Lonchura striata: one gene and its partners. The main gene of each other region encodes a partner of the protein of the gene in region 4 in a complex. Links are inferred from orthologs where the notes say so. Each region holds a gene or a part of one and is shown on either strand. Other genes may lie near its edges. The genes, in order: PRPF3, CWC22, GEMIN2 and SNRPF.

Region 1 (7,183 bases), on a different chromosome or scaffold from region 4:
AAGAGGATGGAGAATCCACATGGAAGATGTAAAAACCACTTCAGTTTAAGTGATTCAAGTCTACAAGCACAGGGAGGCCTGGAAGCCTCTGGGATCTGTGTATTGTGCTGTCAGGAGCTTTAAACTAAGGGATTAAGGGGGTCCAGTCCATGCAGAAGCAAAGCAAGGCTGTAACGGGCAAAAAAAGCACACCAAAAAATTACCTTTTACAGTTCCTCAAATAAGGAATTAATTTTTCCTCATCAGATCTTTTAACACATCCCAAGGCCTCCAGCTGAGTCTGGGCTGAGGGATTTCCCCCTACTCACCTCGTGGAGGCTGAGAGAACTGCCCTGTGCCCCTGCACCTCCACCCTGGTGAGGTTTTGGGCTGTTTTACAAACCTGGCTGCGCACGTACCAGCCGCTTTCTAAAGCACACTAAAAAATTACCTTTTACAGTTCCTCGAATAAGGAATTAATTTTTCCTCATCAGATCTTTTAACACATCCCAAGGCCTCCAGTTGAGTCTGGTCTGAGGGATTTCCCCCTACTCACCTCGTGGAGGCTGAGAGAACTGCCCTGTGCCCCTGCACCTCCACCCTGGTGAGGTTTTGGGCTGTTTTACAAACCTGGCTGCAGACGTACCAGCCGCTTTCTAAAGCACACTAAAAAATTACCTTTTACAGTTCCTCGAATAAGGAATTAATTTTTCCTCATCAGATCTTTTAACACATCCCAAGGCCTCCAGCTGAGTCTGGGCTGAGGGATTTCCCCCTACTCACCTCGTGGAGGCTGAGAGAACTGCCCTGTGCCCCTGCCCCTCCACCCTGGCGAGGTTTTGGGCTGTTTTACAAACCTGGCTGCGGACGTACCAGCCGCTTTCTAAAGCACACTAAAAAATTACCTTTTACAGTTCCTCAAATAAGGAATTAATTTTTCCTCATCAGATCTTTTAACACATCCCAAGGCCTCCAGTTGAGTCTGGTCTGAGGGATTTCCCCCTACTCACCTCGTGGAGGCTGAGAGAACTGCCCTGTGCCCCTGCCCCTCCACCCTGGCGAGGTTTTGGGCTGTTTTACAGACCCGGCTGCGCACGTACCGGCCGCTTTCTTCTTGTCCATGCCCTTGCCCACGCAGTTGAGCGCGGCGGTGACCACGGTGGGCTCCGAGAAGCCCAGCACACGCTTCACCGTCTTCTCGATCCATGGCTTCAGCTCGTCCAGCTCGCGCTTGGACAGCGACATCTCTGCTCGGGCTGCGAGGAGACACAGCGCGTCAAACACGGGCCTGGGGTGTCCTCACCCTCAGGATCAGCTCCACGGCTGGGAAAAGCTCTCGTGGGCTCCCCTGCGGGCTAAAACGAGGCAAACCCCGTGAGGAGGGAGGTCCTGACCCCACACAGGGGACGCAGGACCTGCTGTGGATCCTAGAGGGACACACCAGAGTGCTTCCAAAACCAGACAGCAATGCGTGTTCTCAGGATAACCCTTCCCACCCTGGCTCCTCCCTGAGCTCCCCATGTCTCTCTGTGCTGCCAGCCCGGTGACAAAGCCTCTGAGCTCCCCAAATCCCTCCATGGGATGCTCCAGGGGTTGGGAAGAGAGATGCACTGCGAGTGGAACGCGTGGGACAGAACCCCCCTGCTCCCACTGAGCCCACGCCAGGGACACAAAACAATCTGAGCCTCTTCCCCAGCGTGCAGCCCCAGATCTGGGCAGCTCCCTGGCAGTCACAGCCCCTCACATCCTGCAGCACTCACAGCCTGGGCTGCAGCTGCAACTGCTTTTAACTGGCTCCGGGCCCTAATCGGATCTGGCAAAATCTCCTTAGGGCTGAGCCCCACCACGGCACCCAGGTGGGGCTGTGGGAACAGACACCTGGCACAGCTGTGCTTCCTGGAGCTGGGAATGGTGTTCAGTTATCCCTCCTGGAGCTGGGAATGGTGTTCAGTTATCCCTCCTGGAGCTGGGAATGGGGCCCTGGGGTTCAATGGGGTCCTGGGGTTCAGTTATCCTTCCTGGAGCTGGGAATGGTGTTCATTTATCCCTCCTGGAACTGGGAATGGTGTTCAGTTACCCTTCCTGGAGCTGGGAATGGGGCCCTGGGGTCATCCCTAACACAGATCCCCTGATTTCAGGTCCATGAGCAGTTCCAGGAGGTGACTGCTGCTTCCTGCAGGGCCCCAGGAGCTGGGGAATCTGCACTGTCCTACCAAGCAGTCCTCCACAGAGGACACGGCTCTGGTTTCCCTCCAGAGCCTGGGAACCTCCTCAGGCTCTACTTTTCCTGGCAGCTTCCTTAGAGACAGGTTCAAATAGAGCCCAAACCCGGATTCTGGCATTTCCCCACGACTTCTGAGCCTGCACAGGCTAAGGACAAGCAGAACTAACAAATTACGGCCCCGACACATCGACAGCTCTGAGCACACCCATAATAAACCACAAAACTCGTGTAATTAGAGGCGGTCCAGCTTCCCCCGACCTGAGCTCCAGCAGGAGCTGAGGGGAGGCAGCGGCTCCCCGGCTGTTTCCGTGCCACACCGGGCGGGCAGAGCCACCGCGGGGAGCAGCTCGTGGGGATGCAGCTCCCGGAACCCGCATCAGGATCAATGAACGAGTCCGAGCACCGCCCGACCGCGCCGGGGCTCCGCCGCCCGCTCCGGCCTCACACGGACGGACGGACGGAGCTCGGTCCCACCGCAGACACGCGGCTCCTGCCGACCCCGCTCCCGCGCAGCCCCGCAGGGCCCGGCGTGCCCCGCTGCCGCGGAGCTCCGCCCGGGGCCCGGCCCGGCCCCCTCAGCGCGGCGCGCCGGGCGAGCGGCTCCGCGCGGGCCGGGCCCGGGGCCACCTCCGCCACCGCCTGCCTCCCTCTCGGTAGCCCGCCCGCTTTCCCCGTTGCCTCCATGCCCTCCGGGGAGCCGCAGTGTTCCTCACCGGCCCCGTTCCCTCACGCCGGTCCCGGGCCCGGCCCGGCGGCCCCTGACGGTGACGGCGCGTCGGGGAGGAAGCGGAAACGGCCGCGCGGCGCCTGCGCGGCGGAGCGCGCGGGAGGGCGGGGCCGGGGCGCGCGCGAACCCGGCAAGGGGCGTGGCCACGCTCAGCCCCGCCCCCGCCCCCTCAGACCGTCATTAACCAAACTCAATTAACGGGAACCAAGGCTCTTTATTGGGGCCGGCCGCTCCTCAGCAGCCCGGCCACGGGTCCTGGCGGGCGCTCCGCGCCAGGAAGGCGATCCTGCGCGCCATCTCGGCGCAGTACACCCGCCGGCACGCCTCGAACGCCCGCCGCCGCCGCGCCCGGCTCGGCTTCTCGTAGTAGCGGGAGCGCCGCACCGCCTCGGCCACGCCGTCCTGCGCCAGGATCCTGCGGGAGGGGAGAGAGCCGTGACAGCGGCGGGGAAGGCTCTGCCGAGCAGAGAGGAACGGGCACGGCTCGGTTCGTGCGGACCCTCGGTCCCCGTGCGGACCCTGTGCACGGCTCGGCCCGTGCGGACCCTGGGCTCGGCTCGGTCCCCGTGCGGACCCTGTGCACGACTCGGTCCGTGCGGACCCTCGGTCCCGGTGCGGACCCTGTGCACGGCTCGGTCCCCGTGCGGACCCTCGGTCCCGGTGCGGACCCTGTGCACGGCTCGGTCCCCGTGCGGACCCTCGGTCCCCATGCGGACCCTGTGCACGGCTCGGTCCCGGTGTGGACCCTGGGCTCGGCTCAGTCCCCGTGCGGACCCTGTGCACGGCTCGGTCCGTGCGGACCCTCGGTCCCGGTGCGGACCCTGGGTTCGGCTCGGTCCCGGTGCGGACCCTGGGTTCGGCTCGGTCCCCATGCGGACCCTGTGCACGGCTCGGTCCCGGTGTGGACCCTGGGCTCGGCTCGGTCCCGGTGTGGACTCTGGGCTCGGCTCAGTCCCGGTGTGGACCCTGGGCCCGGCTCGGTCCCCGTGCGGACCCTCGGTCCCCGTGCGGACCCTGGCTCGGCTCGGTCTCCGTGCGGACCCTGTGCACGGCTCGGTCCCGGTGCGGACCCTGTGCACGGCTCGGTCCCGGTGTGGACCCTGGGCCCGGCTCGGTCCCCGTGCGGACCCTCGGTCCCGGTGCGGACCCTGTGCACGGCTCGGTCCCGGTGCGGACCCTGTGCACGGCTCGGTCCCGGTGTGGACCCTGGGCCCGGCTCGGTCCCCGTGCGGACCCTCGGTCCCGGTGCGGACCCTGTGCACGGCTCGGTCCCCGTGCGGACCCTCGGTCCCGGTGCGGACCCTGTGCACGGCTCGGTCCGTGCAGACCCTCGGTCCCGGTGCGGACCCTCGGTCTCCGTGCGGACCCTGTGCACGGCTCGGTCTCCGTGCGGACCCTCGGTCCCGGTGCGGACCCTGTGCACGGCTCGGTCCGTGCGGACCCTCGGTCCCGGTGCGGACCCTCGGTCTCCGTGCGGACCCTGTGCACGGCTCGGTCTCCGTGCGGACCCTGTGCACGGCTCGGTCCCGGTGTGGACCCTGGGCCCGGCTCGGTCCCCGTGCGGACCCTCGGTCCCGGTGCGGACCCTGTGCACGGCTCGGTCCCGGTGCGGACCCTCGGTCTCGGTGCGGACCCTCGGTCCCCGTGCGGACCCTGGCTCGGCTCGGTCTCCGTGCGGACCCTGTGCACGGCTCGGTCCCGGTGCGGACCCTCGGCTCGGTCTCCTCGCCGTCCACCCGCGAGGAGGGGAAGGAACCCCCCGAGCTCCGTTTAAGGCGGCTCCAACGAAGGTGTGTGAGCGCAGAGCTCCCCGAGAAGCAGCGCTCAGCTCTTCCTCGATTTCACGCTGCTTACAGCCCATCCGAGGGGGCGGTGGGACGTGGAGCTCATGGGAAAAGCCCCGCACCACCCTCCCGTCACCTTCTGCTCCAGAAATTCTGGCTCTGAACCCAGCACGGGAAGGAATCGGAGCCCCTCGGGGCCCAAACCCCGCCGTTCCCCCCGATCCTCACCTGTTCAGGACGCCGTACGCCGCCTCCACGTTTCCGTTCTGCACCATCACCGTGCGGCCCACGAAGCGCAGGTGGTTCGCCATGGCCGCGCTGCTGCGGGACGGAGCGGCTGGGACCGGGCAGCCCCGGCGCCCGCAGGAGCCCGTCCCTCCTCCCCCCGCCCCGGGACACGGCAGGGAACCCCGGGTACGGAGAGGGGCCGGTCCCTCCCGCCCTCTCCCGGGGACACGGAGGGCTCGGTTCCCCCCGCAGAGCCCCAAGGGACCCGCCGCCCCGCGAACGGTGCCGTGCCCCGGTCGGGTCCCGGTGCCGCTGCTCTCCCCAGCTGACCCCGGTGAAGCTCCGCAGCCCCGTGACTGATGGAGGAGCTTCCGTCGGGAGGGACTTCCGCTACCGCCGGGACTTCCGGCGGGGAGAGCCCCGGTACCGGCGGAACCCGTGCCGCTCCCGGGGCTGTCCCGCCCGCAGCCGGGCCGGGGGACAGCGGGGCACCGGGGGCGGCTGTGAGCCCGCCGGGACGGGAGCGCACCCCCCGCCCTGCCCAGGCACAGAGGACACGACAGCGGCTGGCCCCGGCCGCTCCCGCGGCGTTTATTGCTCCAGCAGCGCCCGCCCCGCTCGGGGCTCCGCACCCACCGCTCGGGGGGAAGGCACCAGCCCGGGAGAGCCCGGTCCCCGCGGGGACGGGGCTCCGCTCCGGCCAAGGCACGCGGCCGCCCCGCGGTTGGGGCTTCTGGGGTGGGGAGGGGGGTCGGGACCCCTCCCCCGGTCAGTCCCGCCCGCCCGCGGGTCTCACTGACCACCCGTAAAAAAAAAAAAAAAAAAAAATCAAAAAAGGCAAAACCAAGAAATGCAGACGAGATCTTCCCCCCCCCCGAGCCGGGGGGGGCGTCACACGTCCGGCGCTGGGGGCGACTCGGGGGTCCCGGCTTGGCACCGGGGGGACCCCCGCTGCTGTAATGTCCCCGCGGGGCTGGCGAGGGGGAGGTCCCCGGGCAGGCGGCGGCACCGGGGAGCCCCGGGGGGACCGGCGGGGGGCCGGCGGCGCGGGGGAGCCGTGGAGGGGGTCGAGTCCAGCGTGGGTTTGGGGGCGACGTGGGGGAACCAGAGGCGCAGCATCGCCTCCACCTGCAGCAGCGTCCCCAGGTAGCGGGCACTGCGGGGAGAGAGCTCTGTCACCCTCTGCGGAGGAGGTGTCCCCGTGCCCGCCCCCCCCGGGGATAGCTGGGGACCCTCACCCCATTTCTGGCTTCTGCAGGACCCCAATGATCCGCTGGAGCCGGTCCATGGCCACGCTCTGCTGGAAGCTGCTCAGCCCTGGGGAGTCCCGAAATTGGGTGAATTTTCCCCAGAGGGAAAGGGATGCTTTGAGGAGGAGGAGGGTGTGGGGGGCACCCACCTCTGTCATACCGGCCCCGCCGCAGCCCCTCCAGCAGCTCGGCCAGCGGCCGGATGAAGCCCCGGAGCTCCCGGCACTGCGAGGAAGAGGAGGAAGAGGAGGAGGTGACTGGGCTGCACCCAGACTGGAGAGGGGGTCTGGTGCACCCCCTCACACCCCACTTACCTCCCTCTCACCCCCCGAATCCTGCTCATCCCCACCCGCCCGTTTCAGTGGGGAAACTGAGGCAGACCCAGGGGTTTTTTGAGGGGACACCAAGCCCTCCCTCACCTCCCATCTTTGGGGGTGCCCCTTCGTTTTCTGCCAAAAAACTCACCTTTTGGGCAAAGAGGCGATCGCCATCGCTGGGAGGGACATCCCCCCCTTCTCCTTTCCGCGGGCGCTTCCCCCCGCGGGGTGAGGGCGGCGATTCGGGGGGTGCTCGGTCCAGCCCCGCCGGGCGCTTGCGGCTGCGCTCGGGTCTGGGGGGGCTCCGGGGGGAGCTGCCGGCCTCGGCCTCGCTGTCGGAGGCAGGGGAGCCGCAGGAGCAGGTGCGGGCGGGGGGCTCCATGGCGGGGGTGGCCCCCGCAGGGGAGCCTCTCCCTGCGTTCAGCTCCAGCAGGGTCAAACAGCCGAGGCTGTCTGGGGGAGGAGGGAGGGAAACACCGGGGGGGATATCGGACAAAAATGGAAGACAACGAACTGCCTCGTTCTCCCGTGGGGATGTCATCCCCACAGCCCCGGAGCTGCCTCACATGCCCCGGGGGGGCACATTTGGCATCTCCTCAGACAGGATGGGAGACCAGGGACCCACCTGGGACCTTTCACCCGGGACCACCCCCAGCCCCAGGACACGCCCCTCT
Region 2 (7,173 bases), on a different chromosome or scaffold from region 4:
CCAGGTTAGTTCAGGAAGGAAAAGTGCATTCATTAGCCTGTCCTCTGGTTTCTAGGCACAAACACACCTTCTAGCACTCAGCATCATGACCCCACCATGGGTTCTACTGTCCTAGCTCTGCAGAACAGCAGAGATATTTTTTTCCTTAAAGGTCAGGAGATATAAAAATACTTCACAGAGGATAAAAAAAATCAGCACAAAGGAGTAAAAACAAAATTGAAAGGGGTTTAGTTACTAAAAAAGGATTTTAGTTGCTAAATAATCTAAAGCTGCCAAATGATGACATAGCTCAATTCATGGTGTAGCCCTGAAATTTTAGGCAGATATTCAGGGTGCCGGCTGTAGAATGATGCCTTGGTTTGATGAAGTCTTGAAACTGTGGAAAAGAACCAACATTCTTCTGCAGTGTGTAAGGACAAAGTGAAACTAAGGACATGAAAACACCAGTTCACAGCCCAGAGTGACCTGTGTCTGCAGCACTATGTCTGGCTCCACTCCATACCACTTTGTAGGAAAGGCTTCAAACAAACAAACATTAATTATATTAACAAGCAAAAACTCATTGCAAAAAATGTACCTTTATTTTTTTTTTTTTTTTTTTTGCCAATCTGCATTCACTATGCTTTCCTTTTCTGAATAATTGCTTCCCCTGTATATTAATTTAAGGTTAGACTGGACAAGAATTGTTTTCAGTCCCAGAAGCTGGTTGGAGAAGAGCATTGCCACAAAACTGAAAGAAGGCAGATTATAGGATACAGACCAGGAAGTGCTTTAAACAGTAGCTGAGTGGATTTTTTTATTACTGTGAGAAGCAGCTGAAAGACTGTCATTAAAAATAATAGCAAACATATGTGATGTGTTCTCACACAGAGGAAACTGTGTGGAAGTTCCACATATGATCATCCTGCCACTGAGCTCAGAGGGATAGCTTCACTTTGATGAGGTTTCAAAACACATTGCAGGAGTCTGCTGGTGTTTTCTTGGGAAAAACAAATTTTGTGATGGAATGTGATGAGTGTCACACATTTGAGGTATCAAAAAGAGATATTTCTTAGTATTGTAAACCCATGATCTTCCAGCAGTTATTAAACTGTAATGGTGAGGGGACTGCAGAGCACGGATATTGGATCCCTCTGAAACAATGGTGTTTATGTGATGTAAGAGCTTTCTTCTTTCTCTCTTATATGTTGTTTCTTAACACTCTGCATTGGAAATAACTCCTGCCACACAAAAAGTAGCAGTAGAGTAGGGATTGCATGTCCCTGATCCACTCTGCTACTGAACAAGTTCAGCTGTGTTGTTTCCAGCCTCCTTTGCTGACTCACCTCACTTATGTGACCTTAAACTGAAACCACAGAGGATGAGATTTCTCATCTCAGCTGATGTGTGGAATAATATCCTGCAGCTGGCACATTGCAGCAGCTATCTGGAAACAATTTTTGAGCCTTGCACAAGATTATAATTCTACAGCATGCTAAAGGTCACACTGATTAACTTGGATGGGAATTAGCTGTGTATAAATTCCTTACTCCTAATAAAGCAGGCAGGAAACCAATGTCCAATCCATCATTTTGAAATTAATTAATAAAGCAATACTAACTGCAAAGACTCAGTTACCAGAATAAGCTATTGGAGCAGCTATCACTGTTTTTCCAGAAGCATTAGGTACTTGTATGAATTGGGTGTTATTGTATTTCAAAGCCTGATCATCATGCTTACTTAAGGTGAAGAATTCTTTGTTGATTATTGCTGTTCTAAATACACATAAAGCCACTCAACATGAGTTAATTCTTGTGTGGTTTTGTCTTTGGATTTTTTTTCCAGACTCCAAAATCATGCTCCATTCGAACTGTAATGTACTTCAGACTGAGATAGAGATGAGAGAACCTCACCATCTCTTACACCCACAGAGTAGCTGCACAGCTGCAGGGTGATCAGGATTGCTTCAGTTGGATTACTTCACCTGAGTGCCTTCCAGGCAAGTAAGGAGTCCCACATGCTGAGAAAGAAGTTGTGGAAGACACACCAAGCAAGAGAATGTACCTGCATCCCTCTTACTCTCTAGAAGCTGGAACCCACAGTCACGTCTCTACTTCAGACTCTGTACATTTAGGATCTTGAGTGCAGCAGATTCCAAAAGGCTGATCAGGGGTACTCAACCTGCACTGCATTCTACCCCCTTAAAGCACTTGGGAAGTGCAAGCTTTGTCTTTTCACTCTCACAGAACTAAAACTTGCATCTCTTAAAGCATTTTGCCAAACCACAGGACTAGACCCACTGTAAAATTTAAGAATTCTCTCTTTAACCTGGTGAGGAATAAAATCTAACTGTGACCTATGGCAGAAAAAGGACTGTAAGATGAGCAGGGCAGGGAAGAAATGAGCAGAAGGGAGCTTCACTGCATAATCCAATAGTAAAAGCATTAACTTATGAAAGGAGAAAAGGGAAACCTCACTTCACTGCTGCTATTCAGCACTTAATGCCCTTTCTCTTGTTCAGTGAATCCCATTGCCCCAGCCCCTTGTCTGCTTTCCACATCCAAGAAGAGAACTGAAGAATTGAAGTCACCCCAGTTATTCAGCCCATCTTAAATCACAAACATGTTTTTCAGAGGTTATCAGTAGTCTCCTGGTGGAGGCACCTCAAAAAAGACCTTTACATTTCCCATCTCTGTCCTCAGGCTCCTTCTGAGGCAGAGCTCAGCTGTCTATGCTCTCTCTTTCTCAGGGCATTTGGAGGGGCAGGCTGAGGGATGGTACGTGTGGCACCAGCCACAGGATGTCCCCCTCAGGAGATGCTGCTGCCACACTGGCACCATATGCCTTTTCATTTCGTGACACCTGTTTACACAGCGTGAGGCAGGAAAAAGATTACTTGCACAACAGAATGGGAAATCATGGAGTGGGTTCAGGGAATAGCGTGTGAAAGCATTTAACAATTCACATTGTGAGAATGTGTAGAACTGTCCAAATAAATGCTGTTTCCAGTCTCCTGTGTAAGAGCCACATTTGCAAATCATTAAGCCAAATAAAGCAAATCCTGTAGCTAAAAGTTATAAGCAGAAAAAAAAATTCACTTTTTCTGATTGTTGTTTCTTAACATTTCCATGTTGGCAAGGTGTGTTTTGCTGCCTTGACTATTCTGCTTAGTATTACAACATAAATGAGAAAGTTGACTTTTATGAATGTGTAACTTAAAATAACTATTCTCTCCTGAGCACAGAATATTTGTCTCTGTGACAATATACAATGTTACAATGGCATTGATGGCCTTTGGAAAAGTTGGAGAATAGGTTTGCTCCCATTTTGTGAATGCTTCAAATTCTGGGGAACGTGAACTGGTAGATTAGTTTAAACCAAAGTGGTTCTGAGTTAAAGTGCTACATAGCACAATCTCAGTCATGGCCTGATGCTCCTTTTCTCTTACTCTTCTGAGATCTTCTGAGTGACAGAAGAGCGAGATAATTTAAATCTTGGGGATTAAGTCTTCAATTGCTGCACCACATTGACCAGATCTGTCCAATCATGCATATCCTCTCCTTACTATGCTGTGATTTTTTGGTTTTTTTTGGACAGTGAGCATTTGAGTCTGTACTAACTGTTACAATGAAAATAGCGCTACAGGCGTATTACATGATGTGACAAAACATTAAGAAGTCTAATGCTCTGTATAGAATAGATAAGTTGACTTAACAACCTCCAAAAAGAAAGAAATGTAGCATTTTCCAGCTCTGAGAAAGCTCCATGTTCATCGCCTGGAGAAGCAGCGGGTCCCACAGGTGCGGCGGCGCCCTGGCCCGGAGGAGCTCATTGCATTTCACAGCATGGAAACGAACCACAAGCACTTCAAGACCTTATGTAGCACTGTCCTTTGTTTTCATCCCGTTTCTATGCATTTAATTACTCTCCCAAATCCAAACACATTTGTGCCTACAATAAGCCAGAGGCTCTCTGTTAGCCTGGATCCGTGGCGCCGAATCACTTCAAACTTTCAGAGGCCAAACAGACCCTGCAGCATACAGGTGTTCCAACACGGCAGCGCTCGGCACTGCAGTGCGTGCAGGGCTTTTCCCCCAGGATGCCCAGCCCAGCAGTTTTTGTCTGGCACGCAGGGCGAGCGCGCTCCTTTCCGACTGAGGCGGCCCCGCCCTCCGGCCGCCATGTTGGGGTGGGGCCGGCCGCGCGCTCCTCGCGCTGCCGGAAGTGACGTGTGCGGGCCGCGCGCGGCGGCGGCGGCGGGAGGTGCGGGCCGGGCCGGGTTCAGGAACGGGGCCGGGTTCAGGAACGGGGCCGGGGCTGGGCGGGCCGTCCCTTCCCGCCATCCCCGTGGGGTCCGGGGGAGCTCCGGGTCGGGGTTCGCGGCCTCCCCCGCCGCGAGCGGACGGGCCCGGGCCGGGAGCCGGGCTCGGGGTCGGTGGGCCGGGCCCCGGCAGCCCCGGCCGCGGCCTGTCCGCTCGCTCGCTCGGGGCCGGCTGCGGCGGTGCAGCCGCTGTGTGGCCGCAGCGTATCGGAATAGACCCGGGGGAGCCTTTGGGTTTAAGGACTTGTGTAAGCATAGCCTTAAAGGACAAAATAAAGGTGCGTGTTCCGGCACCTTGTGCAGTCGAAAGCTTTTGATTTTCTTCCGTGTGTTACAGGTGAAATGGTTTTCATATGCTGAACTCCAGCTTGGATTGCCTCGTTGCTGCACGTTGAGAACTTCGTAAAAAGCAGGAAGTCAAGATGAAGAGCAGGGTGACACAAGTAAATGTAAGTGTTCTTAAAACTAAATTGTGAGATTTGATACTTCCCATGTCACTGGTAATTAGGTTTGTAGTTGATATTATGTTAAATAAAACTTCCTGAGTGCAAAGCAAGTAATATCTGTAACAGACAGAAGTTGTTTGCAAGATAAATACTACTAGGAGTCAGTAAATTACTGACTAGTAATATACTAGCTGCTGTTGTCCATGCAATTAAAGTCCTGAATATTATTAGTGTAAAATGTTACAATAATTGGTCAAAACTGACTGAATGCTGATGGCTCAACAGTAAGTGTAAGCATGTAGAGGAGTGGAGAAGGATTTTGAGAAATTTAACAACAATCTTAAAAGATATTGAAACAATAAGTTGCAGTTAATTTGACAACTGTATGTCATACTATGCACGTTAAAACTTTTCCTTTTAATAGCTATGTGTCCCACTTCTGAGTGGATGGGGTTGATTTTTTTGGGAATGCAAGAAGAAAAAGTTTAGAAATGCTGTTTGCAATGGATGCCAGTTTTGAGACATGTTAACAGAGCAATATTGTTGTGATGCCCTGACTCAGATCTGTGGTATTACTCTCCCTGTTTGCCCAGAGTTGGAACCTGCATAGGCTTCTTCACTCTTTTAGACCATCTTTTCTGACTTGAGTGACTTCTAGTAGGGATGCTTGAGGGGTAGTTTAATACCTTCTCCTGTTCTCCCCACCTGGTAGCGCTCCCTCATCTGTCAAAACAAGCCAGTTAGCAAAAGCACACTGTTTGGACAGTTTCACTTAATCACTTTGATGAAAATGGATAAAGAAGAGGGCTAACTTGTGGCAGAAAACCTGGTCACAAAGAGCTGAGGGTGACAATTTCTTCAGCAAGCATAGCTTCTTTTGCAAGGAGATGTGATAAATGGCAAATACAGAAACAGCCATAACATTGTTTTATTTCTGTGAACATTTGTCTCTTTGGTTCTGCTTGGGCAGAGACACATGATAAAGAATCCATTGGAATGGATCAGCCTTAAAAAGACCCACTGCCTTCTTCCCATCTGCTAGATAGGATTTAAATACAGTAACTATTTTGTGGTATTCAAAGATTTTTATTACCGCTTTCTTGGAAGCTTAGGATTCAGACTGGCATATATTACTATGTTGGGAAAAGGAAACAAGGACGCTTGTTACCCTTGAATGAATTCAGTGATCTGCTGTGTGCTGTAATGACCATTCAAAGGGGTAGAAAACCTTGGTGAATGTGTGAATTTTTTGTACTGTGTCCACTGTTGAAGGTAATGTGGCTCTAAAATGACACAGGTGGACATAACTTCTATAGGGATGCATGCTGCCAGTGGACAGTGCAAAGCCCTTGTTTTGTGTCATGGCCTTTATGCAGGCAACAGAACTCTGGGTGTAATTTTAACAATTTGAATTGCCCCCTTGGAAGGGCAATATTCCAGGATATGTTATAGTGGCCTCAAAAAAACAATTTTTTTTTTTGCATATATACACACCCTCCCAGTTAAGTTTTTGGAGATAGCAGTTGCTCTGCTTTTTATGGAAGAGGTGTCATGTTCTGGTCACCCAGAGTTTTAATTGGTTCTTTGGTGGGGAGGAGGCTGCTTCAACGAACAAGCTGAGTGTTCCTACAGGGAGTTCCATCAAGGTGCATAAGGAAATGCTTTTGTTGAGTTACTGCATCATGTGAGGTGTTCCCTGTTTCACAGATAATGACTCTGTGACATTGTGAGATTGTGGTTCTGAAAAATCATAAATAATATTTTAAAGAAAGAGGTGACCCTTCCAATGAAAGTACTCAGGTTACAAATGCTGCTGTTTACAAATGTTTAGAAACATGTTAATGAATATCTTTCTGTTTGCTGTAGATGCTGTCACTTTCTGATTTTTGTACTGATTTTCTACTCCATACTTCATGTCATGGTTCAGCCCATGGAATTTGTTGTGAGCTGTTTAAGTGTGTATCACTTACACAATTCTGCAAATCTGCCAAGTAGATCAGTGCAGCTCAGATGTTTGTAATGTATGAAACTAAGAATGACTCTTGAGGAAATAAATTGTGATTAGTAAAAAGGGGGAATGTAAGGAAAAATTACTCAATAAAGGGAATTTTTAGGAGAGAGGAAAGACAGTCTTTAAACAAGAAATGGTGGAATTCTGTTCATGGTATTGCGTGTAATACAACAAATGAAAATGGCATCTGAAAAAACGAAGCAGGAAAGGCAGACCAGTGGTCCATCTACTCTAGTCTCCAGCAGTAGTTAACAGCAGATGCCTTAGAGAGTTTAGGAATAGGGATATATAAAAGTACTTGCCGGCATACTCTCACACTCTACCTGTTTGCAGCTTCCTCAGCCAGATAAAGTCTTTTAGTAACCCTTGTGGATTTTTCTTTGGTGTTTATTCCATGCCTTGAACCTGTGGAAGCA
Region 3 (7,089 bases), on a different chromosome or scaffold from region 4:
AAAATACATGAGCACAATAGTTTAAATAGTTATCTAAAGCAATTTGCTAACATTTTCACCACTCAAACGCAGTCCTCCTCCAAATCTGCCCTCCCAGATCTCTCACTGAAAACTTTAAACAACTACGGTACCTAAATTTAAAAAAAAGCAATGCATAATCAAACGCAGCAGGGCCTGCATTTCTCGTTTTACCTACACTGGAAGGCACCCTCGTCAGTGGCACAGCGGCACAGCTACAGCGGAGCTCCGGGACAGGAGCACCCCGGCGCTGCCGGGGAGCGCTGCCCTTCACCCCGGCCGTTCAAGGCCCTGCCCGCCGGCCCCCGGCCGAGCTGGGGCTGCTGGGGCTGCTCGCCCGGCCCGGGAGGCCGCGGGCACTGCTGACCAGCGCCCGGCGGCAGCCCCGGACTCTCAGGCCGCCGGGGGCCCCGACAGCAATTCTGGCACCCGGAGATCCCCCAGCGCCACGGAGGAGGCGCGGGGAGCTCCCACCACGCTCCCTTCGGGTCCCACAGCCGTGCGGGGCCCCGCGGGCCGGGTGCCCGTGCCTCCCAGCGCGGGGAGAGGAGGGGCTGCCCCTCTCCCCTCCCTGCACCCCAGCTCCGCCGGGCCGGGCTCCCCCTCAGCGCCGCGCTGCGCGCTCACCCGCGTCCCGGCCGCCGCTCCCGCTGCGCTCGCTGTCCCCGCCCGCCCGCCCGCAGCCGCCCCGGCGCCGCCGACGCACCAACATGGCTGATGGGAGAGTCCGCGCCACGTCAAGGGCAGAGAGCGGGGGCGGGCTGAGCTCCGCCGCCCGCCCGCCCCCGGCACAGCCCGCCGGCCGCCCCGGCCTGCCCGGCCCGGGCAGCGCGGCCGGCGTCAGCCGCCCCGCGGCTCCGACCGTGGCTCCGCCGCCTTGGCAGCTCCTGCTCGCGTGTGTGTGTTGGCCACCCTGTTCGGCTGTCTTCTGAAGGTCGGTCGTGTGCATCCCGATCAGCGGGGGCAGTTTGGCCGTCTCTCCCTGCGGCAGTGCCGCGGCCCCGGGGCTGCCGGCGGCCCCGCCGGTGGCTGCGCTGCTCTGTGCGGGGCTGCTCCGTCCGGCACGAACTCCGGGATCGAAACAGCCGGGCTTATTCCCATCTTCCACCATGACTACTTATGGCAACTTCTTAATCTGGAAGATTGTTTAGATGTTTCTTCTGAGTGCCTGGGGAAAAAACAAAATGAAGTTATATTCCTGGGGGTTTAAACCTGAAACAATCCTTTATCTTGTTAGTGTGGTCAGCTTTTTTATCCACAAACTGAAGTTAACAGATAACTCTTCAGTTTTAGGAATTGTTTTTCACAAGGCTGTCATGAAAGGCCAGAACAATAACTTCTGTCTTTCCTGAGATGTCGTAGTGCAATTAATCCAGACATGGGGGAGGACTGGAAAACATTCTGCTGACTGGCTACCATATCCTGCCTCCTTCATTGCAACTCGGAAAATATTCTGTGACCATCAAGCAAATACAAATTACTAAAACAACTTTACCCTCTTTTTTTATATGTCAGATGTGATTATGATAGAATTTCTTTGCCATTGCTCTCTCCAGTATGGTTTACCAGTCCTCTTCAGACTAAAAACATGAACAGTTAAGCAACAGCAGAATTTATGGGAGGGATTTTTAATTTTCTTGTTCACAAATCTCACTGCCATTTGTGGGAGTATTAAGCAAGAGCTTGCCAATGACATGTAACATCCTCACCCTGAACTCAAAAGAAAAAAAGAAAAAAACAGACCAACCCCCAAACCCTACCACACTTCAAACAGATGCACAGCAAATTACTCAGTGTTGTAATTTCAAAAGTATTCAAATAACTTGTGAAACATTTTCAGAAAATTCCCCAAAAAAGAGGCAAGTCCTGAAGTCTAAAATGCAGGATGAACTCTATAAATAAGAGAAAAAGAGGCATCTGACATTTAAAGACACTCAAAGGGCAAGAAGGGAAAACAGCAAAGTATACTACTCTGAAAGTTTACTACAAATAAAATATATTCAGTATTTTAAATTAATCTTCAGTACAATTAAATTTCATTACATAATAACTCAGTCCAATGCTCTAAACTTAAAGTCATGCAGCTGTTATGACGCTGCTAACCACAGAGAAAATCAAGGAGAAAGAAAAGTAGAAAATAGATATAAACTCATTTATTCATTATAAGAAAATATTTTGCTAGCTCTCCATATTCATATCTAGAATGTAGATTTGAAAACATTTTAATTTTTCATAATGCAGAATTTATATGTTACTTTGTTTTGGTTTGGTTTTTTAGCCAATGAGGCATATCCATTAATGCAACCTTTCTTGGGGAAGGCACTCTTCCTTAATGCCTAAGCAGGTGAGAAGAAATATATACATTTCCAATTTCATTTTCCTCTTTCTCCACTGAGTCATATTTGCTAGCCATTGCATCAGCATTGTTGGTAAGAAATACTATCTGCAATAATTAAAAATATGTTGCTTTGCTTAACAAGTATCAATGGAAAGTTGAATAAAAAGTGATCTAAAGATAGGAAGTATATTTGAAGCGTATATCTGTGGATTCGCTTGATTCTATGAAGTTCGTAGTTCTGGACTTTACAACAAATAGGAAAAATAAGTTCTGAATATTACTAAAGTATTATAAAAGAACTTTATATAGCTGGACTCACCAAAGTTTTTGTCTTGATCATCAGCCTTTCCAGAGTTATCACTGTAGGTTTAAGTAGGCAAGTTTTATTTCTAGTGGTGACTGCAATTGTTGCATACTCAACTAAGACGTTAGATCCGGGTTTCAGGAAAAAAAATCTCCCTGGTACACGTAGGTGCTTTTGGAAACAATTTAAAACAAACAAAAGCCATTGGAGAGGAGGAGTTAAGGCAGATGTTTATTTAGAACTACTGAAATACAGGCTTGCAGGGGGTTAAAAAGAAAACGTTGTTTTTTTTTTTTTAACTTATGTCAGAAGTATCTCAAACTACTCTGAAATATTAAATCTAACACTGCAGAACTAATTGAAGAGATAATATACTGATGGACATTTGTGTAACAGGAATTTCATAATACACAATGTAAATGATTACAGCATCACCCTTTCACTTTTTGTCTCACCTGGGAAACAATGCCCCTTTGTGCAGATGTGAGAAACTGCATTGACTTGTTTGTTCATCAAAAGTATGAAATTAGGATAAAAGGGGGGGAAGTCGGGACATGGAATTTGCAGGCTTGACTGGTAACCACAAAGATTGTGAAAGATTTTGCAGGACTGGCTGGAACTGATAACCGCAGTGGAAACCCATTGTTGCTGAAAACTGATAAACCGAAGTGGAAGAAGACACACCACCCCACTTGTAAAATCCATTGTTTTTGGGACTGATAACCACGGTGGAACGAGACTCATCACCCCCACTCATGCAAGATAAAAAGGGACTGAAGAGAAGGAAAGGTTGTCAGCTTTTGGCGGAGCCAGGCTCCCAGCTGAACCCAGCGCTGTTTTGCTTGCTATCGCTTGCTGTAATTAATAAAATTATTAATTGATCTTAAAAGGCTGAATCAAATTATTCGCCTCAACTTATAACACAGATGCTACCTTGCTTTCTGACATGTGGATGCTTTCACATTGTAGTCTTCAGAAAAATTCATACAGCAACAGCTCAGGCATTGATCCTTCCAGAATGGGAACTCTGTAAATTTAAAATCATTAACTTCTATATAACTGACTTTAACCACAGATCTCAAAGCATTTCAAGAAAGGGACAAATATTACGAATACTGGGTTTTCACAAGTAAAATAAGAGCGTACTAACGGGTGAGCTTTAAAGAATTTTTGGCAAAAACTACAGCATATTAGAATAATGTCACAGCGGCTAATGAAGGAAGCTATTAAAGGTTTACGCCTCTTCACCACAAAAATAGGCGTAGTTTGATGGGCAGTGGATTGGCAACCCCTCTTCTGCCGCTGCTCTTCGGCCATGCTTGTTGTGCTCCCCGGCGGGAGGACAACCGCCCGGACAACCACGACGCCGGGCGCGGGGCGCGCCCAGCGGCGCCGGGCCGAGGCGCGCGCCGCGCGGCAGCGCCGCTCTCGCGAGAGCCGCGCGGGGCCATGGAGCCGGGCCTGGAGGAGCTGATGCCGCGGCTGCTGCCCGTGGGCGACTGCGACCTGGCCGAGGACTTCGATCCCACCGTGCCTCCCAGGACGCCCCAGGAGTATCTGAAGCGCGTCCAGTGAGTGGCGGGGCGGTGGGGCCGGGCCCGGGCCCGTCGCCTCTCCGCGAGTGTGGCGGGGCAGCCGGTGCTGCCCGGGCCGGGCTTCGGGCGCGCCAGGGCGGCCGCGCCGTGCTGCCCTCGCCGGCACAGCCGGTGCTTTCACACCGGTGTTTAAACACCTGCTTTAAAACGGGCGGGCACCGATCTCTTCCTTGTCGTGACCGGCGACACGATTCCAGGAAACGACATGAAGCCGTGTCAAGGGAGGTTTGGGCTGGCTATCAGGAAAAGGTTTTTCACCCAGAGGGTGGCTGAGCACTGAACAGCTCATGACAGAGTTCGGGAAACATTTGGACAGCGCCGTCGGGCACAGGGTGTGATTTCTGGGCTGTCGTGTGCACGGAGTTGGACTCAATGATATTGATTGGTCCCTCCATGATTTTTATGAGTATTTCAAAGACATCCGGTATATACCGACCTGTCACATGAAAGAAAAAAATGCAGCCCACTTGATTCTGTTTTGTAGGATTGAAGCAGCGCGATGTCCTGACGTTGTTGTGGCGCAAATAGATCCCAGAAAATTGAAGAAGAAGCCGACAGTAAACATTTCAGTAAGTTTGAGAGCTTTTGCACGTTTTGAGTAGGGGGGAAACCGGGAGAGATGTTCCTATAATGATGTTTGTATTACTTTGGGGGAGTCATTGGCATAACTGAATAGCACTGCTAGATTCTAAAAGCATCTACAGAATTAAATGTCTGTGTTTGAAGAAACCCCTGCTCACCTGCTGGGTAACAGCAGTATTTCTAAATTATTAAATTGATAATCCCCATACTATTTGATACACAGCTGACTATTTTACTGTGTAAGGAAATCAAATGTTGCATTAAATCTTACAATTATTTAATCCTGCATAAATTTAAACCTGCATAAATTTTAGAAGAAAAACATATCCATACCTGTCTTTGGGTTTAAGTCTATATTTAGCATAAGGGTAGTAAGTGCAGCTAAGCTTTACTAAAGTTACATTAAATTCTAGTACCACTTTCCTTTTGGAAGGAATATTTTATTGGAACTTCTCCTTACTGTTGAAGCAGATTTTTCTGTTGTTGCATTGCCCTGCCAGCTTGGTTTTTAATCTGTTTTCAAATAGTTTGCCTTTCTCCAACGACAACGATGTAATCTGAGATTGCCCTACTAGATTTCTCAAAGAAAGTTTCTAATACTGATATGACTTTGTAACTTCTGTAGCCATTCTCTTCATCTGTCTCATCTGTTTGTAGTGACATTCTTAAGCACTTGTAGAAAGATTTTGTTTAATAACCCTTTCATGCTAATCTTTAAAGCAGTTATATCTACTTAACTATCAAATTTAATTTTCTAGATGGTTTTATGGTCTTCTGTCTTCCTCAACTACTATCTTCACAGGAAGACTGCCTAAGATTGATAGTATCTGTCCCAGATAAGGAAGCTGCATCCATTTTTTTATGAGCAGGGAGATTAAAGCAGAACAATTGCTGAAAGGAAGACCTTAAGTAATTATTTGACAATGTATTTTGAACACTTAGTTTTCCTTCTTATGTACATATGAGAAGTGTCAAATTTGTCTAAGCCAAAATCTTAACTCAGCCTTGGATGTGGTCATGAAATTACCTTTCTTAGATGGAGAGTTCAAGGATATTGTTGACCTGATAGTAAACATTTACTGATTCTCTTGTCCTTAAGGATTCTTCTTATGCAGATCTCTTTACATTATAATTATTACCAGTGTTTTCTCAGATTTCTGGATGTCAGCCTGCTCCTGAAGGATACTCTCCAACGCTCAAGTGGCAGCAGCAGCAAGTGGCCAATTTCTCAGCTGTTCGTCAGGTACAAGATAGTCTGTGAGGGGTCTTGCATGGTCTAGATAGAACATATCTGTGCTTTATAGGGGATAACTTTACATCTAGTAGAGAAGTGTTGCGATTTTGTTGCAGGATAGAAGTTTATAGGCAAGTGTTTTAAGTTCTTGAAAGCTAATTGAGCATATACTGTGTGGCTTTTAAACCTCTGATGAAACTCTTGAGAGTCAAGTTTAAGAAATTCTCTGTATTTTGATTAAATTAAAAGGCATGGTTGAGGAAGGACAAAAACCCCTATGATGTTATGCAGTTATATTAAAACATAGTGCTAGCAGGAAATGTTCTGCAGAACTTAATATTAACTAAGAACAAAGTGGATTCTAACCCATCAGGAGATTCATAAAGTGCATTTAGAAACCTGTTGACAGAGGTGGCAACCCATTATGAGGAGACATACTGATTTGGTAAAACATATTTGTAAGGTTGTAGAATTAGCACAGACTTTCATCTTTCCTGATACATTTGCACCCTGCTTGAAATAACACAAGAACAGAAAATAAGCAGTCTCAAAGGGTAAAGGTTCTAAGTTCAGCTAAGCTTTGCTAAAGTTTTAAACTAAAGGAGGATTGATTTCAATTAGCTATAAGGAAGAATTTTTTTTACAGTGAAGGTGGTGAAACACTGGCACAGGTTGCCCAGAGAGGGGTGGATGCCCCATCCCTCAAAACCACTAAAGGTCAGGTTGGATGGGGTTCTGAGCCTGAGCTAGTTGAAGATGTGCCTGCCCATGGGAGAGGGGCTGGACTAGATGGCCTGTGAAGGCCCCTTCCAGCCCAAATCTATGATTCTATTATTCTCTATGCACAGTTCAAGCAGGATGAATTGAAAATATAATAAAAATATAGGTGGAGGTAATTTGTGATTCCACTGCTGCAGACAGCATGTTTACAGTGCATTGATACTGCATTGTAGAGTCCCTCAAGTACTGAGGTGTGACCAGCTAGGAGCTGCTCTAGCACTGAACTCTGCATGAGCTC
Region 4 (6,376 bases):
TCTCTTGCCTCAACCCCATTAATGCCACTGAAGTCTGTGGATCCCTGCAGCTGCCAGGAGGCTTTTGGCTGTGTGGCTGTTGGCTGCTAAGTAGATATACATTTGTCCTTTCTTAATGACCATACAGCCACACTTCAAGCTTCCTGACTCAAAGCAGGAGAATATTTCTGAGGGAAACTGGGGTATAACAGATCGCCACACCTCACTTGCAGTGAAATCTTCCCAGCTAATTCTAAATGTTTTATAAACATGTTTAAAGATGAAACGTATTTAAATAGTCATGACATACATACTGTAAAGTATAGATACTGCCAAGTCTTCCTGTATTTCAGATGGGAAGATAACTTTTAAGGTATTTTTAAAGTCCTTGCTTTTCATTTCAATATTTCCAACTTTCAATTGAACCAATTACCTATTGTTCCTCCAGCATTAGTTTTTCAGACACCAATAAAATATTAACATTTTTTAAAGAGTTAATTTTCCCCATACTAAAACACAACAGAAATAAACATCTTACTACAGAAGTATGAAAAACAAAAAAGAAAAGAAAGGTTTATTTTCAGAAATACAAAACACCTATTCTCTCATTTCTCCATCTTCTTCCTCTTCTTCCACACCTCTGATGTACAAAACATTATTGCACCTGTAAATAGAACAAAGAGTTTCCTTAGCTATAAACATTATCATTTTCCCCACATAAAACAAGCTTTAAACATTTTTCTGCTTGAATGTAGCCTGGCAACAGCCAAATTCTACAGAACAAAAAGCTGCTGTTGTCCTTGTACACCTTTTTCACACAGTACATCAAACTGTGCAACTTCATGAATGTAATAAATGTTTGACAATGCTGTACAAAAAATTTTTTACTTTAGGGTGAACAGTTACAGTCAAGTTTAACTTCCAAGCATGCAAAGTGTTTCCAGCTACAGTGCATTAGTTTACAATGCCAAAGGATTCCCAAATATATAATACTGTGGAAAACAAAAGTATTTTGTTACCACAAAGGAGACAGTAAATACTTATCTAGATATTGCAAAAATCATTTTTCCTCCTCTCAGAAGGGACTTTGATATAGAAGTCACATTCATAGCCTTCCTATAAGAGCTACACTTGGCATCTTAATTAGACAAGAAACACAACATCCACCAGTATAAGCTTTAATGCAAGTGGTGAGGCAATTTAGAGCCTTCCTCCACCATAAATAAATATCCCAATTACCTTATCAAAACTTCACCCAGGTGTCCAGACAACGCACCGTCTATGTACTCCTCTGTGTTTGCAAGCTTGAAAGGAAAATGAGGAAAAAATCAGAAAGACAGCAATAAAAGCGGCTCCGCAAAGCACACGACGGCTCTGCCCCAGCCCAGGGCTCGGCCCCAGCTCCCGGGGGTGGCCGAGCGGCCCCGGTCCCGCTCTGCACCGCGTCCCCACCGCCCCCGGCCCGGCACGCAGCGCCTGCGGCGGGGAAGGTCCTTCCTTAGGCATCACCTCCTTGAGAGCCCCGTCAGGGCAGAGACACCTCCCACTGCCCCAGGCTGCCCAGAGCACACCTCCCACTGCCCCAGGCTGCCCAGAGCCCCATCCAGCCTGGCCTTGCACGCTCCCAGGGATGCGGCACCCACCATTTCTTCCTCCACAACGCCGGGGGCCGGCACCGCCCCGGCACGCCCCCGGCCCCTCACCTGCATGTTCATGTAGCCGTCCACGGAGACGAGGTAGCCCTTGTACTCCATCCCCCACTTCAGCTTCACCATCACCGGTTTCCCCGTCAGCCCGTTCAGGAACGGCTTGGGGTTGAGGGGCAGGCTCTGGCGGGGGAAGCACACGGTCAGCGCCGCCCGCCTCCCGCTCCGCCTCGCCCGGCCGCCTGGGGCCCGTAACGGAGCGGCTCCCGCCCCTCAGCGCCCGGCTCCCGCCCCTCCCGGCTCCCGGCCCGCCCGGCCCGGCTCCCGCCGCTCCCGGCTGCCGCTCACCATGGCGGGAGAAGCGCGGGCCCGGCGGGACCGCTCGTGCGCGCCGCGGGACAAGGGGCGGCGCTGGGAACGGCTCCGCTTCCCGTTCCGGGGGCGCCGCTCTCACCCCCGGCCTCCCACCGCGCCGCGCTCCCATAGGCTGCCGGGCCCCGACGCGCCGAGCCTCAGGCGCGGCCGCCCATTGGCTCGCCGGTGCCGCGGGCCTGTCTCATTGGCTGCCACTTCCCCCTCCCACCCCCCGTGCTAACCAATCGCTGTTGCCGCCAGTCGCGCCGCGGTGGCGCGGCCGTGCGCGGCGCGGGGGGTGAGCTCGCGCCCCGTGCGCGTCCCCGCGCGCTGTGCCCGTGCGCGTGCCCGCGGTGCCCCGCGCGGTCCCGTCCCGTGAGGCGGCGGCGCGCGGCCGCGCCCATCCGTCCGCGAAAAGAAACCCGCGGAGTGGTTCCACACGCAAGGATAGGAAATCTCAGAGGTCAGCGGGCACATTAAGTGCGAATTCCCCGTCAGTGGCTTTTTACCCCCAGGCAAAGATGTTCTTGGGTGTAGAGAGAGTCGCGACACATCAGTGCTGACTTATGTCTTAACCTTTGACAGGCAAGTGTGCTGCACCAACGCCTGTACCGTTTACCGATTGGTCACATCCTCACTAATGTCTTCTACTGCCCGGTGGATAAATTCATCACATGCCACAATGTGCATTTCTGTTCTGCATGCAGCATGTCCCCTTGATCTTCAGTGTATTATTGGGTGCTGAATGTGGGAAACACCATTCAGGAAACTTAACCTTTCAGTAACAGAGCTATTGTGGGTTGTGTGCACTTCACCTTCCAGAAGTGACTCTAGTGCCCTGGTATTGAAAGCAAAACCATTCTTGCCTCCTCAAATCTGCATATTTAAAGCTGTTGATGCAAAAAGCCATCTTCTCCAGGTCCAGACTGTCCTTACACACCGTGAACGTGTAGGAGTGAAACGGATGCAATTGTAGTTCCTGTTCACTAGCATATATCACAAGTGCAGTTACAGAATCAGAATTGTTAGGGCTGGAAGGGACCTCTGAAGACCATCCAGTCAACCCTCCTGCCAAAGCAGGGTCACCTGCAGCAGCTGACATAGGAACATGTCCAAGTGGGTTTGGAATTTCTCCAGAAAGGGAAACTCTGCAACCTCCCTGGGCAGCATCTTCCAGTGCTCTGCCACTTCCAACGTGAAGAAATTCTTCCTCATGTTGAGATGAAACTTCTTGTGACTATATCTAGATGCACATTTGCACAACCATTAGAAATAAGTGTGATTTTATTTTAGGGTGTAGTGGATGGACAGCAGAAACAAGACCAAAATATGCTAATTTTCTTTCTGGTAGCAGGGCTCATTATGGTCCAGCTGAAAGAATAACTAACTTACTTATAAGATTTTTTTGTAAGGAAGTCTGTGTTTAGACTATGAAGCAAAAATATGAACACAATGGGAAATGGTATATATAAAAATTTTTTCATGCTATTTGCAGTACAGAATAGCTGATTTCACATGATGCCGTGTTGCAGAATTCAATGAGCTTAGACCAAGTGTCTTGAATAAAATCATACTGTAAGAGCAATTTTTGCACTGTTCTGACAAGGATAAACATGTATGCCTGTGAATGGCAATATAAAAGGTTTGGTATGTTATCTGTAAATAGCACTAGTTATTTTTACATATGAAACCAATTTTGACCACAATGTCTCCTATTCATGTTGGGAAAACTTTTTGTGTACCAAGAAATAGGAGCATTTAGATTTCTCTTTAAATACACACTGCTAATCAGGTGAGTAAATATTCCAGCCCTGTTGTTACAAAAAACAAGCATTTCCCAGGGTCATTCGTCTCAGTGTAGAAGTCAAAGACAGAGAGTGCTTGACTACTACTTTCACAATTGGTCCATGAGTTCACACATCAGTAATTCATCAGCTGGAGACTGGGTCTGCGGCAATTTTGGGCAGGGGTAGGGTAAAAAGGAGTACTGAAAGCACAGAATGCATTACTACATCTGGTGTAGTTAACTAAGTCTGTTAATCAGGAAACAAAATAGCTGATGTTTTTCTTTGGCCCTTGTGAGGAATTTGCTGTTTACCTTGTTGACTGAATCATTCTGACTCAGTCTTCTAACGCTGATCTTTGGACCTTCAGCACAGGGGTGAAGTTCACCTTTTGTCCTCTTTGTATTTCCCTTGTAATAGGGGAAGTAATAATTTGCATTCTTTTCTGCCTCTGGTCAGGGTATTTAGGCTGTTGCTCAACAGGAAATGAACAGGAAAGAGTTGTTGTAATAGATTAATCCAAGCCTGAGCTCCTGGGTGGATGGATAGGATTTTCTCTTACAGCTCAGGAGGGGGAATTTAGCACAAATGCCTACACTCTGTTCCTAAGGAAACACATCAAGCAGCTGGACATTCAAGGGCAGCAGCATTTCTGGTGGAGAGGTGGTTACATGGCGTTGTCTGTGTTGGTGCAATTGCTCCCTGACATCACTAATGCACTGTGTTGCTGTAAAATCAGGCTGAGAGGGCCCATGTACCATCACACTGCTGAGAGAAACCTCAGCAGCCCAGAACTCCTTTCTGATTCAGCTGAGTTTGCTGGAGAAGAACTCCCTGCAGTGACCTGTTTCTGTCTGCCATAAACACATTATTAAGGAAACTTTCAGAGCTGCCTCATGTTCCAATTTCTAGTGTGAACATTTAGTGACCATCCCATGCCTTTTCCTAGTGATATGCCAGTGTCAGTGGGGGTTTCCTCCACTGTATTCTTATTCCACATCAGGTGAACTACTTCCGATACCACGCAATCATGTCCACCAGAGCAATAAGAGCTTCAGCTTTGCCATCACCATGTCATGAGCACCAGCTGCAGTCAAAGAACTTAAAGCAGCCATGAAAGTGCAGCCCTGAATTGCAGGTGGGCAGAGCGGAGTTAACAAAATGGAAACTCCATCAGAAGTGCTGAAGACAGCACCTTCAAAGGACAGGTTTTCATTAAAAAGGATACAGTGTGGCAGCATGGAATTAGCCCTGCTATGTGGTGTAGGAACTTCTGCCTCTGTTGGGTTCATTACTGACAAAGCTGTGTAAAAACCTGTTCTCTCCACATACAACCTGTCCCAGGTAAAGACATACCACCTTCCTTCCTCCCTCTTGCCATACTCCCAGGCCAAGTCTGGTCCTTGAACTGTTAGGTGAAGTGATACCTCAGTCCAAGGTTGGCAGTGGTTAAGTAGGCTTGTGCAAAGCAGTAGCCAATTCCTGACGAGCTCTCTGTTCTAACTTCTTGGGGATGCAGTGGTTATGACTCTTGTGCACCTAGGAGGATTTTGAAGCTCTGCGCACCCTTGGGGAATTTAGCTGTTGTAGCAATACTGTTAAAATATGAAGAGGACCTAAGACTCAGGCCGAGCCTTGACATGAAGAACATCTATTTTTCCTTCAGGAATAGACAAAATGGAAGATTTTCCATTAGATATCCTACTGGAATGAAAAATCAGATCTTGCCCACAGTTTGTCTGTAGAGACTATCTTGTCTAAAAAACCTTTTTCAATAAGTAACACAAGATTTTCTCTATGTACAGAAAATCTGTATAATTTATCAGCTCTTGGTGACTTGGGAACTGCTGTAGCAGTATTCTGTGAACTGCCAACAGCCCTCATGTGAGGTATAGTCCTGACTTTATGGGGCTTTGCCACAGTAAAATAGTTTTGCTTCAAGTAGTATTTTTTCAGAAATGTCTTCCAGTAAAACACCTTTCCTCTCTGCTGATTGTCATTTTAATTACACCATCTTTGATCAAATCTCCATGTGAGGCCATAACCATCCACCACAGACCTTCACCACCGATTGTGACTGGGAGTCGGGAGATAGTGAATTCAGACTTAAGAAGAACAGGGGGCTGTAAATTCTCTCTGAGATTCTCATCAACAGAAGCAAAGCCACACTGTTCCACAAGTGTGGATATACAGTGAATCCAAGGGTGGATCCAAGTAATAGGAGGCACAAAACTGGTTAGCCTGTTTCAGGCTTCATCCAAGCAACATGCCTTTTTTCACATGCTGACAGACTTTCATGTCAGTGTAAGACTGTAGCTCAGAACATATGCTCAGTCTTGCTGAACAACACTTGGAAACAGCCAAAGAGAAGAACACAGGGGAGCCACAAAAACCAGGTGATTTTCCATTGGCCCTGAATGCCTGGCAGTGGCTAGCAACAGTAATGTGAGGGAACACAAACAAAATGCAAAAGTCTGTTTGGGATGGACTTTCCCAGTAAGCAGGAGACCACGCTGTGAACAGCTCCCAGGGCAGGAGGTAGAGGTGAGCCTGGGAAGATAGAAATGAAGGGTTTCTTCTTGGGTAGAGGATTTATATGCAGTTTCAGATCAG

Evidence for each region.
Region 1: SNRPF (region 4) and PRPF3 share a complex: the UniProt entries of both Homo sapiens proteins name them as parts of the U4/U6-U5 tri-snRNP complex. The link is inferred for Lonchura striata from reciprocal best matches to the Homo sapiens genes SNRPF and PRPF3.
Region 2: SNRPF (region 4) and CWC22 share a complex: the UniProt entries of both Homo sapiens proteins name them as parts of the minor spliceosome. The link is inferred for Lonchura striata from reciprocal best matches to the Homo sapiens genes SNRPF and CWC22.
Region 3: SNRPF (region 4) and GEMIN2 share a complex: the UniProt entries of both Homo sapiens proteins name them as parts of the SMN-Sm complex. The link is inferred for Lonchura striata from reciprocal best matches to the Homo sapiens genes SNRPF and GEMIN2.

What each region holds. Positions count from the first base shown.
Region 1 is NC_134635.1:2,813,016-2,820,198, reverse strand, and holds the start of PRPF3 (U4/U6 small nuclear ribonucleoprotein Prp3), read right to left. Parts: upstream 3,026-7,183; 5' UTR 2,917-3,025; intron 1,236-2,916; 5' UTR 1,225-1,235; coding exon 1,080-1,224; intron 1-1,079. Other genes in the region: MRPS21 (small ribosomal subunit protein bS21m), read right to left, coding at 3,165-3,345, 4,943-5,025; CIART (circadian-associated transcriptional repressor), read right to left, coding at 5,834-6,098, 6,181-6,259, 6,342-6,417, 6,658-6,962. UniProt on the Homo sapiens protein: Plays a role in pre-mRNA splicing as component of the U4/U6-U5 tri-snRNP complex that is involved in spliceosome assembly, and as component of the precatalytic spliceosome (spliceosome B complex).
Region 2 is NC_134610.1:23,610,039-23,617,211, reverse strand, and holds the start of CWC22 (pre-mRNA-splicing factor CWC22 homolog), read left to right. Parts: upstream 1-4,172; 5' UTR 4,173-4,242; intron 4,243-4,637; 5' UTR 4,638-4,722; coding exon 4,723-4,749; intron 4,750-7,173. UniProt on the Homo sapiens protein: Required for pre-mRNA splicing as component of the spliceosome. As a component of the minor spliceosome, involved in the splicing of U12-type introns in pre-mRNAs. Promotes exon-junction complex (EJC) assembly.
Region 3 is NC_134608.1:23,823,850-23,830,938, reverse strand, and holds the start of GEMIN2 (gem-associated protein 2), read left to right. Parts: upstream 1-4,071; 5' UTR 4,072-4,109; coding exon 4,110-4,231; intron 4,232-4,739; coding exon 4,740-4,824; intron 4,825-5,990; coding exon 5,991-6,080; intron 6,081-7,089. UniProt on the Homo sapiens protein: The SMN complex catalyzes the assembly of small nuclear ribonucleoproteins (snRNPs), the building blocks of the spliceosome, and thereby plays an important role in the splicing of cellular pre-mRNAs.
Region 4 is NC_134607.1:54,488,471-54,494,846, reverse strand, and holds SNRPF (small nuclear ribonucleoprotein F), read right to left. Parts: upstream 2,105-6,376; 5' UTR 1,977-2,104; coding exon 1,974-1,976; intron 1,809-1,973; coding exon 1,683-1,808; intron 1,284-1,682; coding exon 1,219-1,283; intron 644-1,218; coding exon 577-643; 3' UTR 526-576; downstream 1-525. UniProt on the Homo sapiens protein: Plays a role in pre-mRNA splicing as a core component of the spliceosomal U1, U2, U4 and U5 small nuclear ribonucleoproteins (snRNPs), the building blocks of the spliceosome.